Arabidopsis thaliana: one gene and its partner. The protein of the gene in region 2 interacts with the protein of the main gene of each other region in a pairwise test. Each region holds a gene or a part of one and is shown on either strand. Other genes may lie near its edges.

What was found. The genes of interacting proteins can lie anywhere in the genome.
Region 1: the proteins of ERF10 (region 2) and MAF1 interact in a two-hybrid assay, tested with the Arabidopsis thaliana proteins (one large-scale study listed by BioGRID).

Annotation. Positions count from the first base shown.
Region 1 is NC_003070.9:28,953,020-28,961,277, forward strand, and holds MAF1 (K-box region and MADS-box transcription factor family protein), read left to right. Parts: upstream 1-2,502; 5' UTR 2,503-2,659; coding exon 2,660-2,844; exon of another isoform or gene 2,845-5,291; coding exon of another isoform or gene 5,292-5,314; coding exon 5,315-5,372; intron 5,373-5,436; coding exon of another isoform or gene 5,437-5,482; intron 5,483-5,582; coding exon 5,583-5,825; intron 5,826-5,933; coding exon 5,934-5,975; coding exon of another isoform or gene 5,976-6,035; exon of another isoform or gene 6,036-6,131; coding exon of another isoform or gene 6,132-6,143; exon of another isoform or gene 6,144-6,310; coding exon 6,311-6,352; coding exon of another isoform or gene 6,353-6,394; exon of another isoform or gene 6,395-6,558; coding exon of another isoform or gene 6,559-6,591; exon of another isoform or gene 6,592-6,724; coding exon 6,725-6,826; 3' UTR 6,827-7,092; downstream 7,093-8,258. Other genes in the region: AT1G77060 (Phosphoenolpyruvate carboxylase family protein), read right to left, coding at 1-54, 138-430; AT1G77090 (thylakoid lumenal protein (Mog1/PsbP/DUF1795-like photosystem II reaction center PsbP family protein)), read right to left, coding at 7,557-7,621, 7,727-7,954, 8,072-8,183. UniProt on the Arabidopsis thaliana protein: Probable transcription factor involved in the negative regulation of flowering time in both long and short days, probably through the photoperiodic and vernalization pathways. Prevents premature flowering.
Region 2 is NC_003070.9:955,955-960,491, forward strand, and holds ERF10 (ERF domain protein 10), read right to left. Parts: upstream 2,430-4,537; 5' UTR 2,045-2,429; coding exon 1,307-2,044; 3' UTR 1,150-1,306; downstream 1-1,149. Other genes in the region: AT1G03810 (Nucleic acid-binding, OB-fold-like protein), read left to right, coding at 2,805-3,054, 3,474-3,655; AT1G03820 (E6-like protein), read right to left, coding at 4,054-4,537.

The DNA of each region.
Region 1 (8,258 bases), about 28 Mb from region 2:
ATATTAGGAGCTGACGCACACACCGACCTTGCCGTCGCAGCCATCTCCGGTGGTCTAAAACGACGAAAGAACACAAATAAAACGAAAGCATACAAACAAAAAATTACTAAAGAAAGAAAAAAAAAAAGGTGGCGCACGTTAGCAAACCGAAATCGGGTTTTCCCAGGAGAGAAGCGGATAAGGCGTAACCGGATATAAAACCAGCGGAGAATCCGGTTTGCTGCACAATAGCCGCGGATAAGGCATCGTAGCATCCAGGCATAAGCACAATGCCTTGTTCTTCAATCAGGCGATGAAAACGTGTTTGGATTCTCGCTGTCGGATTCACCAATCTCGCCGCGCGTGGGTTCCGTCGGAATGTTGGTGAAGCTGTAAGGTTTAAGCTGCTACAACAGAGTGAAGTTGTTTTGACAGCCATTAACATCGACATTCTTCGAAGCCTCGAACAAGTTTTTTCTTCTCTCTAATCGAGTTAGACTCTGACCCACACGCTTGGGATTTTAATAGAGAGCACGTGGTTATTATATCTCGGTCTTATCTTATGGTAACAGTATCTCAAAGACTCAAACCACAAGGTATTGTGAAAATGTTAGAGGCAATCTAACAATAAATGTATAATTTGGTTAGCTTAAGCTCATCATAGAAATGGGCCTTTATGTCACCAAACCTATTTCACAACATAACACAAGAGCCCACAAAACAACGACTCCTTTCTCCACCAGAACAAGCACGACAAAGGCAAGAGAGTTGCAAAAGACCTATAAGATGATAACAATCGAAAAGATGTAAATTTTGAGAAAAATCAAAATAAACAAGAAAGATTTCATTGTTTTTCACTTTTTCTCCATTTCTACTTTGATTTTACATACTCTATGGGCCAACCAATTTCCAACCTAATGCTTGATAAAAAATGATTCGGTTTTACTATCTCAACAAATTGGGCCTACAACATCCAATTTCATGTAGTGACTTGTTTTTGCCTTTTTCACATCTCAACAAATTGGGTCGTTTGTATTTAAGAAATTGTTACAGCTTTTTAGACTGAATTTTACTTTATGGCTTTATGCTCTCTTTTTCCGTTTTGATTAAGGGTGAATATGTAAACTGTTGATACCATCTGATTTTTTTTATTTTTTATTTTTCTTGTGTGCAACTATACCATCTGAATTCAATTGACATTTTAGCCAAATAAAAAAGATTGGTCCACTTGGATGGCTGTAAAAAAGTTTAGTGGAAGTATTTATAGGGCTTGTTGGCAATCTTCACCAACGGCTATAATGTTGATCTTTTTAAAATTAAACTTACCGTTCGACTGTCTTCTCAACGATTTGACAATTAGCCGTTAGATTAGTATTACTGATTTATTATTAACAAACCCATTTCTTTTCTTATTTTTGAATAAGCTAAATCAGGCCAATAAAAGGGACAAGTAGAGATGGGCTATTTCTTTTTTTCTCTTTTTTTTTTTCTTATGTAGTAGAGAAAAGCCTTTATTCTTAGAGCTATCATTTACCACCCATTAACCAGAAGCTGAGAAATGAAGCAAGCCGAAACGAATTTGTAGTTTTGGACGGTGAAATTATATCGGGCCTTTAATGGGCATGTGAATAGAGTTGAGAGTCTTTTTGCCCCAAATAATCGTTTAAGGGAGTATTGGCTCGTTGGTTTAATATTGGGCCGAAACGAGATTGGGAAGAAGAACAATGTCGGTTTAATCCGGTTAGGGTCGTGGGCTGATTCTGGTTCACCTTTATAGCGTAAGCGAACAAACATTGAAAATGGGGAAGCCAAATTAGTTACCATCCCTAACTCAGTTTTGAGACGTAGTATGAATGAGCCACGGCAGAACCTACGACCTAACTCGATAAAGTAATGGTTACTCTTGGAGACGGAAGAAAGCACAAAGATTTTGATAAGGCTTTCTAGTTGGTGAAATGGTCAAAATCGCTCGGAGAGCCATCATAGGAGCGGGGAGGTGCTATCTGAATATCCCAATGCATCAAGACAAGATGGATTCAGAAAACAAAGAAATTAAACAAACATTTTAAAATATGCTCTTAGTTTTAGATAATATAATGTTTTCAATACCAATTATCTTACACTGATAGTGGTCAAGTTACTAATCACTTTTAATAAATTGGTGATAGTCAAACGTATTGAAAATTATCGATTTAAAAATATTTGAATTCAAAACCATTTTAGTGAAAGTTTGCATTGTAGTTTTGATTATCCGATCAATCTTTAATATAATTACGTCAATAATAACTGAAATCCTTGAATTAACCGTTACCCGATTCATAAGCACTACTTTCCGATCAAAACCAATGAGATAAAATAACTTTTAAACCCTCCAAATAAAAAGAGAAAACCTTAAAAACCAATTTCTGTTCGGTGGGGATGATGATCGGACTCGGACCGGTCTAACCGACTGGATTAAAAAGTCTTTAACAACGACAAGCTTAAAAATTTGCCTCTTAGTGGCTTCAAAACGCAATCGTTTCGCTTAATACTATTATTTTCTCTATCTCGTTTAACCAAAAAAAAAAACGAGTTGGAGGAAAAAAAAAACCAAGAAAAAAGAATAAAAAGCAAAAAGCATTGAGCGTCTCCGGAGATTAGGATTAAATTAGGGCATAACCCTTATCGGAGATTTGAAGCCATGGGAAGAAGAAAAATCGAGATCAAGCGAATCGAGAACAAAAGCAGTCGACAAGTCACTTTCTCCAAACGACGCAATGGTCTCATCGACAAAGCTCGACAACTTTCGATTCTCTGTGAATCCTCCGTCGCTGTTGTCGTCGTATCTGCCTCCGGAAAACTCTATGACTCTTCCTCCGGTGACGAGTAAGAAGATACTTTCCTTTTCTGGGTCTCACTCGATTTTTGTGCTTTTTTACTTTGTTTAATTACTTTCTCCATATAGAAGCTTCAAATCTAGGGCTTTTTGATTCCATCAAATCAACTGAGATTTTCTCCTTGTTTTCTGTATGAAGATAGCAGATGCGTAAGCTTTAACCTAATTTAAGACTAAACATTTTGATCGCCAAGATATGTTCTTGATGTTCGTTTCGTGTTTTTTTTTTCGTGTTTTTTTTTTTTTCATTTTAAAATCATTTTTATCTCTTTTTTTACCTTCATTTGTGACGAAATTTAATATTGCATGTTATTCAAGAAACTTTTCTACACGTGGTGATTCGTTCTTGATGTTGTTTAAGTAATCTTTGTATTGCTAGTTCCATCTGTTGTTCACTTTGAAGCTTCGTTTTTTCATATAAGAAACAATATGTTTAGATTGTTCAAATTTTGAGATTTGGTAATTATATTCAATATTGCAATGCACTTCAAGTAGTTTTGTTGAGAGATTATTTGGGGTTAGTGGTAACATTAATCGAATATCTTTGGTTCAAATTGGTTAACACATTGTACTTTATGTTGATCCAAAATGTATTGTAGATCTTTTCTTTTGTAATTCTCTTTAAGGAATAAGGTTTATCTAGTTGATTTTGATGGTTTATTGTAGTGCTGGGATAAGTTTCCACATTGATACTCGCCACACATTCTTCATTACTTAACTAATTGGATATCGATTTTAACCCTTTTAATCGTAATTTGTTGTGTGTTTATGACACCATACAAGATACATTATGTCTTACTGAGTGACTCTTTGTTGCTCTCTAAGATGTTGTAGTTTGGATTTCTTTGCTAAAGAAACTCAAACTATAACTGATTTTACTGCTACCATATATATGTCAGTGGCCTAGTAGGTTCATTAAGTAGAAATCGGTCGCCAATTTTACTAATTGGGAGAAACCACTAGACTACAACCAAATGTTCAATGACTTTAATAGTCTTCTGTTATTTGTCGTGGATATTTTTAACCCCATGAACTTTTGTATCTAGAAAAATCTCATCCACTTCTCTTTTAGAATACTTTGAATGCGACTAAAAGTGAGTTTTTTTTTTCTAATAGACCTAAGATAAAATCATCAATGGATAAGTAGGAAATGGAAAGGTAACTCTTGTCAGTATGTGTATATATACAGCTCCTTCTCATTTCCTTGATGTTGACTCCATAAATGCTTGATCATGAAAGCAAATTTGTTAAATTTGTAACCAACAAAATGCACAGACTATAGACGAAGTATTAGGAACCGTATCTATCTGTCTCCATTTTACAATAGTCAAGCTCTAGTTGTAGCTAGTTTCTTTATTTAGTTCTTATACCTTAACAAAGTGGCACTATGCAAAGTGTTTTTAGTTGAGATTAGTCGTCTTATGCGTCTTACTAATTGTTCATTTTTTCTTCTTTTTGTGATTGATGTAAAATTACTAAGTCACAACTTGAGATGTTACTAAAAAGATAAGAACGTGTAATAACTGAAGTGAATTTGAAGCCAGTCTCTATTCATATCATAGCATTAATAGATCATGGACAACACATATATAGGATTAGAGCTGTCATGACCTTCCCGGAAATGCTAAATCAGTTTCTTGGTTTATCCTTTTTGGAGTATCATGATATCATTTAGCCAAAGGTTTTTGGTTTCAGTATTCCGATTCGTTTGACGTTATGTGTGAAAGCGTCAATAACTAAAACTTGGATTGACTAGTCAAAATATAAACTGATTGCATTGAATTCTTGAAAATTTTCCCTTAAAATGAACATGAATTTCATCAAGATTTTGTCTTTTGGAAGGATGTGATTTATAATCTATACAATCATACATTTTGCATGATATTAGTTTTTTGAAGAACCAAAAATAGAGCTTCTTTATAAAACTGATTTAGCCTTGATAAGAAAAAGAAGGTAGATAATCGAACTCATGGGGATGAGTTAAAAATGTGTGCACTTAGTTTCTAAAACCTTTTGAAGTCGAAACAATGACAATATTGGCTGCGAAGTTGATATATAACAGGATCTTAAAGTTGAAATTGTAAATTCAGATTTTAATTTTAGAGCACCAGATGATCAGAGTTTCAGATTTACATTTGAAGTATAAAACATTTTGAACACATATATCTAAAGCAGTAACTTCAAAAATAGGGTAACTAATAGTAACTTACATTGTTTTTTTTAATGCTTTTATACTTACTATCATTTTTATATATAGATGCCTGGTTAAGTAAAGATGATTATCAAAAACTGTTGGTTAGTAACAGAAATTGTTGCAAATGTAACATATTATATAAGCTTTCTTTCACTTTGGTGCATTCTCTCTAAATAATGGCCTCTATTGATGCAGTATCTGATTCTTAGTTTTGAAATGGTTTTTGCATAAATTATTGTTCTAATGCATTTTTGTTTTATCTCCAGCATTTCCAAGATCATTGATCGTTATGAAATACAACATGCTGATGAACTTAGAGCCTTAGTAAGTAATTAGCTAAGAACGTCATTCTAATATTCTTCTGGATGCGGTTTTTGGTGTTATGAAGGATAGAAGCGCTGTTCAAGCCGGAGAAACCTCAATGTTTTGAACTCGTAACACCGAACTTAATTCTCTAGAGTTACAGTTATTGTGTCTACTGGAAAATACAAGAACTTCACAATCTTTCTGACCATTCCTTTTCTTCATGTGCAGGATCTTGAAGAAAAAATTCAGAATTATCTTCCACACAAGGAGTTACTAGAAACAGTCCAAAGGTTAGCAGTACGACACATTTTTCTCCCCTCTTCTTCTGATAAAAAAAATGTTTTTTTTCTTTTGTCTACTTGTGAATACAGCAAGCTTGAAGAACCAAATGTCGATAATGTAAGTGTAGATTCTCTAATTTCTCTGGAGGAACAACTTGAGACTGCTCTGTCCGTAAGTAGAGCTAGGAAGGTATATGTGCTGCTACTAAGTGATTCAACCAATTACTCCACAAAACCTTCTTTTTAGTTAGTTATCCTAGAACAATCTTTTGACATAAATCTTAATGTCTTGTTATAGGCAGAACTGATGATGGAGTATATCGAGTCCCTTAAAGAAAAGGTTAGTGCTTTGGTTTTTATTTTCGATAAAGGCCATATTCTAGGCTATGATGATTCTTGAATTCTATTAACCTGCTGAGTCTACAGATTACTATATATATATATATATATCTTTTGGTCTTGTCTTAGTTCCTGATTTAGTATTGGCTTCATTCAGGTGAAACCCTAATGAGAATTAAAAAAACAAGCAGTTTTAAACTCTTGATCAAATCCAACCTTTCCCTCATAAAGTGTCGAATTTGGATGAGGATGATTTATGTTTCGAGAAGGAAACATGTTTGGAAATAGCTATAGAAGTTGTTAGAAACTAATGACCTTATGATCTTTTCCAAACAGGAGAAATTGCTGAGAGAAGAGAACCAGGTTCTGGCTAGCCAGGTAACAATGACCACAATATCTTCTGCTCTTGAAGCTAATTAATCACTTTATACGTCCCCGTTATAGAGAGATACACATATACACGTACATGAAAACTAAAAGTTGAAGGACTTTGATGGATACTAGACAATTATAGTGAAACCCTAAATATGTGATAAGTGATAACAAAATGCTTTTAAAATCTATCTTTCTTGTTAATTTAGTAGCTGTCAGAGAAGAAAGGTATGTCTCACCGATGAAAGATACTCAAAACCCGGTATTTTTAATTTGTGAAATTTGCAAATAAAAAAAATGCTTTCTACAAGATAGATTAATTTCTTGCAATGTTTAGTAGCTGTAGAAAAAAAAGAAATGTAAGAAAGTTTCTTACAGATGGGAAAGAATACGTTGCTGGCAACAGATGATGAGAGAGGAATGTTTCCGGGAAGTAGCTCCGGCAACAAAATACCGGAGACTCTCCCGCTGCTCAATTAGCCACCATCATCAACGGCTGAGTTTTCACCTTAAACTCAAAGCCTGATTCATAATTAAGAGAATAAATTTGTATATTATAAAAAGCTGTGTAATCTCAAACCTTTTATCTTCCTCTAGTGTGGAATTTAAGGTCAAAAAGAAAACGAGAAAGTATGGATCAGTGTTGTACCTCCTTCGGAGACAAGATCAGAGTTTGTGTGTTTGTGTCTGAATGTACGGATTGGATTTTTAAAGTTGTGCTTTCTTTCTTCAGCGTGAAGAACCCTAGACCTTCTTATTTCTTTTTTTTTTTACTTTTTTTTTTTATAACTTTAATTATTTGATTATTTGTCTTACATTACGTGGCAAAGTTATTTAGTTGCATCTCTTTTAATTTGATCAAAACCATATCAGATATTTTGCTCTTTTTTCCAAGTTTAGTGATTCTGTTTTTGAGAGCTCCAAACTATATAAGATATTTTTCACCTTTTCCAAGTTTTATTATTTGTGTTTTTGAAGAACTCAAAAAAGCCAGCTTTTGAACTCTGTTTCATGTTTTGGTTCTTTCTGATGAATCCAGATCCATACAACCGTATGCCAAACTCACTGCTCGTATGTTGTTTAGTATAATATTACAGGATTCTCAACTTTTTACAAATACACATTTATGTACCGCTCTTTGTGTTCTTAGTCTTGAGAAACACTTGAGTAACTTGTTGAAGATCTGATATATCCAAAAAAGTTCTAAAGTCTAAACAATGCGGAATGAACTAGCTATCCTCTTCAGATCCTTGTAGTGTCTCTTCCATTGAAGACCTATAGAATCAAACATAAGCAGAGCAATTAACTATGTGTACAAACCAAACAAAAGGTGTTTGCTCTGTCTTTAAATCTCTGACTAGAAGAGAGGTTTTGCCTTACCGTTTCCGGTGACACTGAACAAGTAAAGGCGGTTTCCGGCAGCTGTTGCAGTTATCAGTACATGAGGCGGCTCTAGCTCGAATTGGTAATAGAGTCTACCATCGTGTTCTGCAACATTGGAACTTAACACCTTCCCTTCTACGTTTTCTCCAATAACTTCTGGTCCAAACGCGTTAATCACCTTCGCTGGTTGTCCAATATTTTCAATCTTAACATCGTCCCCGAGGTCTGTATAAGTGGAACACACAAATCAATCAATCTACGAGTACAAATAGACAAGATTGCATTGCCTATATAACTCAAAAGAGTAAAGTTGATGAATCTTTAATAGCAGAGACAACTTACTATCTGCAAATCTAAGAACAGGAGCTACAATAACAGACAAACGGCCTTCTTTAGGACTAGCAAATCTCAAGTCAATCTCGGTGCCACCAAGATCAGCGATCGATACAGGTACCTAAATTTGATACAACAATGAAAAGAATCTCAAAGTATGACTAAAAACCATAGAAACGAAGAAACAAGAGCCAAG
Region 2 (4,537 bases):
TGTCTTGTGTATTGTCGTTTATTTTTTAGAATTTTCTTTTTCTGATGGGATTTTTACCAAATAATATGTTGAACTTGTAATATCTTGTGGACTCGGATTGTGCAATGTTTCACCAATTCTATAGATATTTTTCCCTTTTCATGTATACTTTGTTAAATCTTTAATAGATCAATTTGAACATTACAACCTCACAATTGAATATTGATATGTATATTGATCTTCTTTTTTGTTTTCGTCTTCGTCTGTTTTCATCATTGTGATATGTATATTGATTAACTGATGGTTTTTGTTTTATAGTTAATTTGTATTAAGCTTTTAAACGTATAAAATATCACTGGACGATTGATCACATTGCGTTTTCGGTTTACGCTATTAAGTTTTATAAATGATATTAAGATATGCGTTTCTTGAAAATAAATGTTTCATCTCATCGTATACCCTGAAACGTGTTATGTTTATGATTTAATTTTATGAATGTACCTATGCACAATTCTCGAATTATTCATCCCCCTCACCCTGAAATGTGTTATGTTTTGGTTATGCTGGTGCCTGGTAGACGAGAATACAGTTGTGTTAGTACCGTCTCCCTAAAGTTATATGTCACATCCTTTTTTGTATATAAAAAGGTGCGACAAGTTCTCCAATTGTTCTTCTTTGGACACCACACGAAAGCTAGTAGCTTTCATATGAGGCATGTGTATGTCATCGACAGATGTACATATCGAGACGTGTTGACTACATAATATTATAATATATGAGCACATACATGCATGTATGGGATCTATGAACATATATACTCCTTTTGGTGGACTCTATACTCATTGCTATAAACAAAGTGATGAAACATACATATTTCTGTTTATCAAGAGAATCTTGATTTTGGATCAGTTTGTTACTGGGGTATTAAATACAATCATTGTCACAGATGTTTTTCTTTCTCTCATTTGATATTTACCTTTGCTCTTATAAGTTATAACTAATTCAAGGAGCTAGTGTATATCACCGTAAAAGAGAGCGCGTGAGTAAAAAAGGTAAGTAGTGAGATAAGTTGTATTCCACGTGTCACTGTGGACGGCGAAAAACACACGTGCGACCCACCTGACACCAATACTTCTTTATCCCCCACGTCAACACGAAATCCATTGGCTAGGTTATGATACGATAATAGTTCAATTACCTTTTTTTAATACATAAAAAAATGTTTGTTTTGTCCTCCAAAAGCACGAATCAACCAATAGAAGTACAGACAATCAGAAGAGCGACAAGATAACAAACTTATTCAAGGACAACAACATCAGATCAATCTTTAGGGACTTGCGTTGAGGTCAAGATCCGGTTCCATTCGCAGCTTACAATCCACGGCGGAGGAAGTCTCAGGCTCTTCCACGGCGGTTTGAGGACCAATAGTCAACCCCATATCAATGGACTCAAACTGGTCAGGACAAACTCGATCAAGCTCCTCTTTCAACGCAATAACTTCAGGCAGATCTAAGAAAAATCCAGCAACCGCTTCAGCCACCCCCGGAGATAACATGTCGTGACAATCCGATGGAAGTGTTCCATCACGCGCCGTTTCGGAAAGGGTGTTGTTCACCGGAGAAGCCAAAGCATTCCCATCGTCTCCAACGAGAGGGAGGTTGGCATTTCCATCACTCACCGTCTCGGAAAGGTTGTTGTTCACCGGCGTCGCCGAAGAAATCCCATAGTATCCGATTAGAGGGAAGTTAGTAGTAGCTTTCGATCCTCGAAACCTTATGGCAGCGGAGTCGTAGGCTCTGGCGGCTTCCTCCCCCGTGTTGAAGGACCCGAGCCAGACCCGTTTTTTCTTTACCGGATCACGGATCTCCGCAGCATATCTCCCCCATGGTCTCCTCCTTACACCCCTGTAACGCACTTCCTTACTCTTTTCTCCGCCGTCATTCACGGCCAGGGCCTTAGTTACATTCTTTCTCTTCTTTACGCCCTTGTCACTCACTTCCTTACTCTTTTCTCCGCCGTCTTTCACGGCCACGGCCGTAGTGACATTCTCTTTTTCTGTGGTCATATTTTGGTTGGGGGAGAATAATTTAGATAAAGGACAAAACTATTGTTTTATAGAAGTGACGTAATCCCACAAAAGGACAAAGTGACAAAAATGTGGAAAGAAATGTCCACGTGGATTGACTGACGCGCCGCCTTAAAGAGAAAACAGTTTTATGACGCCTTTTTATGTTTTAACCTAAACGTCCCCGTTCTTGCGTCTCGCAGTTTTGCGCCATTTGTTGCTTGGGCTTTAACAGGTTATTATCTTTGGGCTTTTTCATATTTTATCTGAGAATCTGATAAACAAGTACTTAGAAATTATCCATGTCGAATATATACTTCGAGAAAGCTTGATGAATCTAAAATTGTATTCTTTGATACAAAAGTTATAATACATAAAAATTGAGTAGATGATACATTGCTACATTATAACAAAATTTGATGATTTATTATTACTCCACAATCTGCTTAGACTAATATTGGATGTCAAAAAAAGAAAATTCGACTAATATTAAGCATAATATGAAAATATAATGAGTTTAAGTTTCAAATTTTGAACGCGCCAATAAAATGTATACCGTTTTAAAAATCGCAAAAAATGAATTAGTGGTAATTTATAATCCAGTAATTTAGATAATAATCCAGAGTAAGATTTGTTTCTAATTTTCTCATTTAAATACCATTGTGAAGAATCTAAACCCTAATCTACCAGCGCGACTCTTCATCACGTCAAAGTTGTCAATTATTTTGAAAAACCCTAAGGAGATTCAAATTACGACACTATGTCGACGACGGCGAATACTAACGCGACGACTGCGCCGAAGCGTAAACCAGTGTTTGTGAAGGTGGATCAGCTCAAACCAGGAACCAGCGGCCATACTCTGATCGTCAAAGTCCTTGAATCGAATCCCGTTAAACCGGCGATTCGTAAAAGTTCGTTGACGCAGCAGCCAATTTCATCTCCTCGTATCGCTGAGTGCCTAATTGGTGACGATACTGGATGCATTCTTTTCACCGCTCGCAACGACCAAGGTAAGGATCTTAATTATTTACATATATAAGTTCTCTTGGTTAGGGTTTCGTAATCGTTTCTCTATCGTTTTCACTCGAAATTGCGTTCAATCTTTCCATAATTTCTCTGTTTCTAGGTTTATATATGCCTTGATTGGAATCTCTATGTTTGTGAAGATCTAAAACATTTATACTTCAGAGATTTTGATAAAGTTTAACTTTTTTTATAGATAATTTTGCTTATAGTTTAGTTTATTGATGAACAGAGTATATCTATTTATATATGTCTAAGCTTTGATTAGTGTTCAATATGTTCCACTTCATTAATCTCTAAGCTTTGATTAGTGTGTTTGTGTTTGACATTTATACAACTTCCTATTCAATATGTGAGAATATGTATGGTACTAATTAATGATGTTCTTTTGGGGTTGCAAATGCAGTTGATCTAATGAAGACTGGAGCAACAGTTATACTGAGGAATGCGAAGATCGACTTGTTCAAGGACACTATGAGAATGGCTGTTGACAGATGGGGACGCATTGAAATAACCGGTCCTGTTTCGTTCGAGGTTAACCGGGCCAACAATCTCTCTCTGGTCGAGTATGAAGTAATTACTGCTTAATGACTACAACCGGTGTCTGTCTCTACTTCTCTTCGTTATTATTTAATTTAAATTTTCAGAGAACTCTCTAGGTCACTGAGATTATATTCAGTTATGATTACTTTTGAGATTATGATGGTGTAGTTTTGGTCTTGCATAGTTCTCTTAAATTGGTATTATTGGTCTTTTGATTCTATTTTTAACACATACTCGTCGCTGGTATTAATCATGGTCATAAATTGAGATTAAGATAAACGTTAAAAAATTTTAGCATAAACATAATATAACTCACAGCTTTGATTTGTATAACTTAAAAGTGTTTTTACTTTCACTTTTCATAAAAGACAAGTAAATGGAGATTGCACAATATAATTAATTGCTCCAAAAAAGTGTTTTGTTTTCTCAAATACAATTTCCTTCTAAGGCTCATACTCTTCTTGACTACCCTCCAAGCTCTTGTAGTATTCCTCCATAGTTTCAAACTCGTTGGTATGATCATTTCCTCGAGCATTCTCATACCCGCGACTAGGGGTGTTTTCTGAATTCCTACCTCTTGTGTCGTAGAAATACTTACCGTTCTCCATAACCCTTGTGTCACTCATCCCCTGCTTCTCTTCTTCATTACCGTAACCTCTCCCATTGTCATTATAATTGTTAGTAGTGTAAGTGTATCCATTATTGTTGTTGTTGTTGTTGTACTTATCCTTTGGCTCATTGAGATCTTCCGAATCTTCAGATTCTTCTTCTTCCTCGAATGCCTCGGGTAACTTGGTATTCTTTTCTTCGTCAAATGTAGCCATCAATTTCTCAAACTCTTCGTCTGTTGTAGTGGATGAACTTGGCCATGACTCTTTGGTTTGAGGAATCATACCGGAACCAGGCCCGAAAGACCCATTTCCGAGT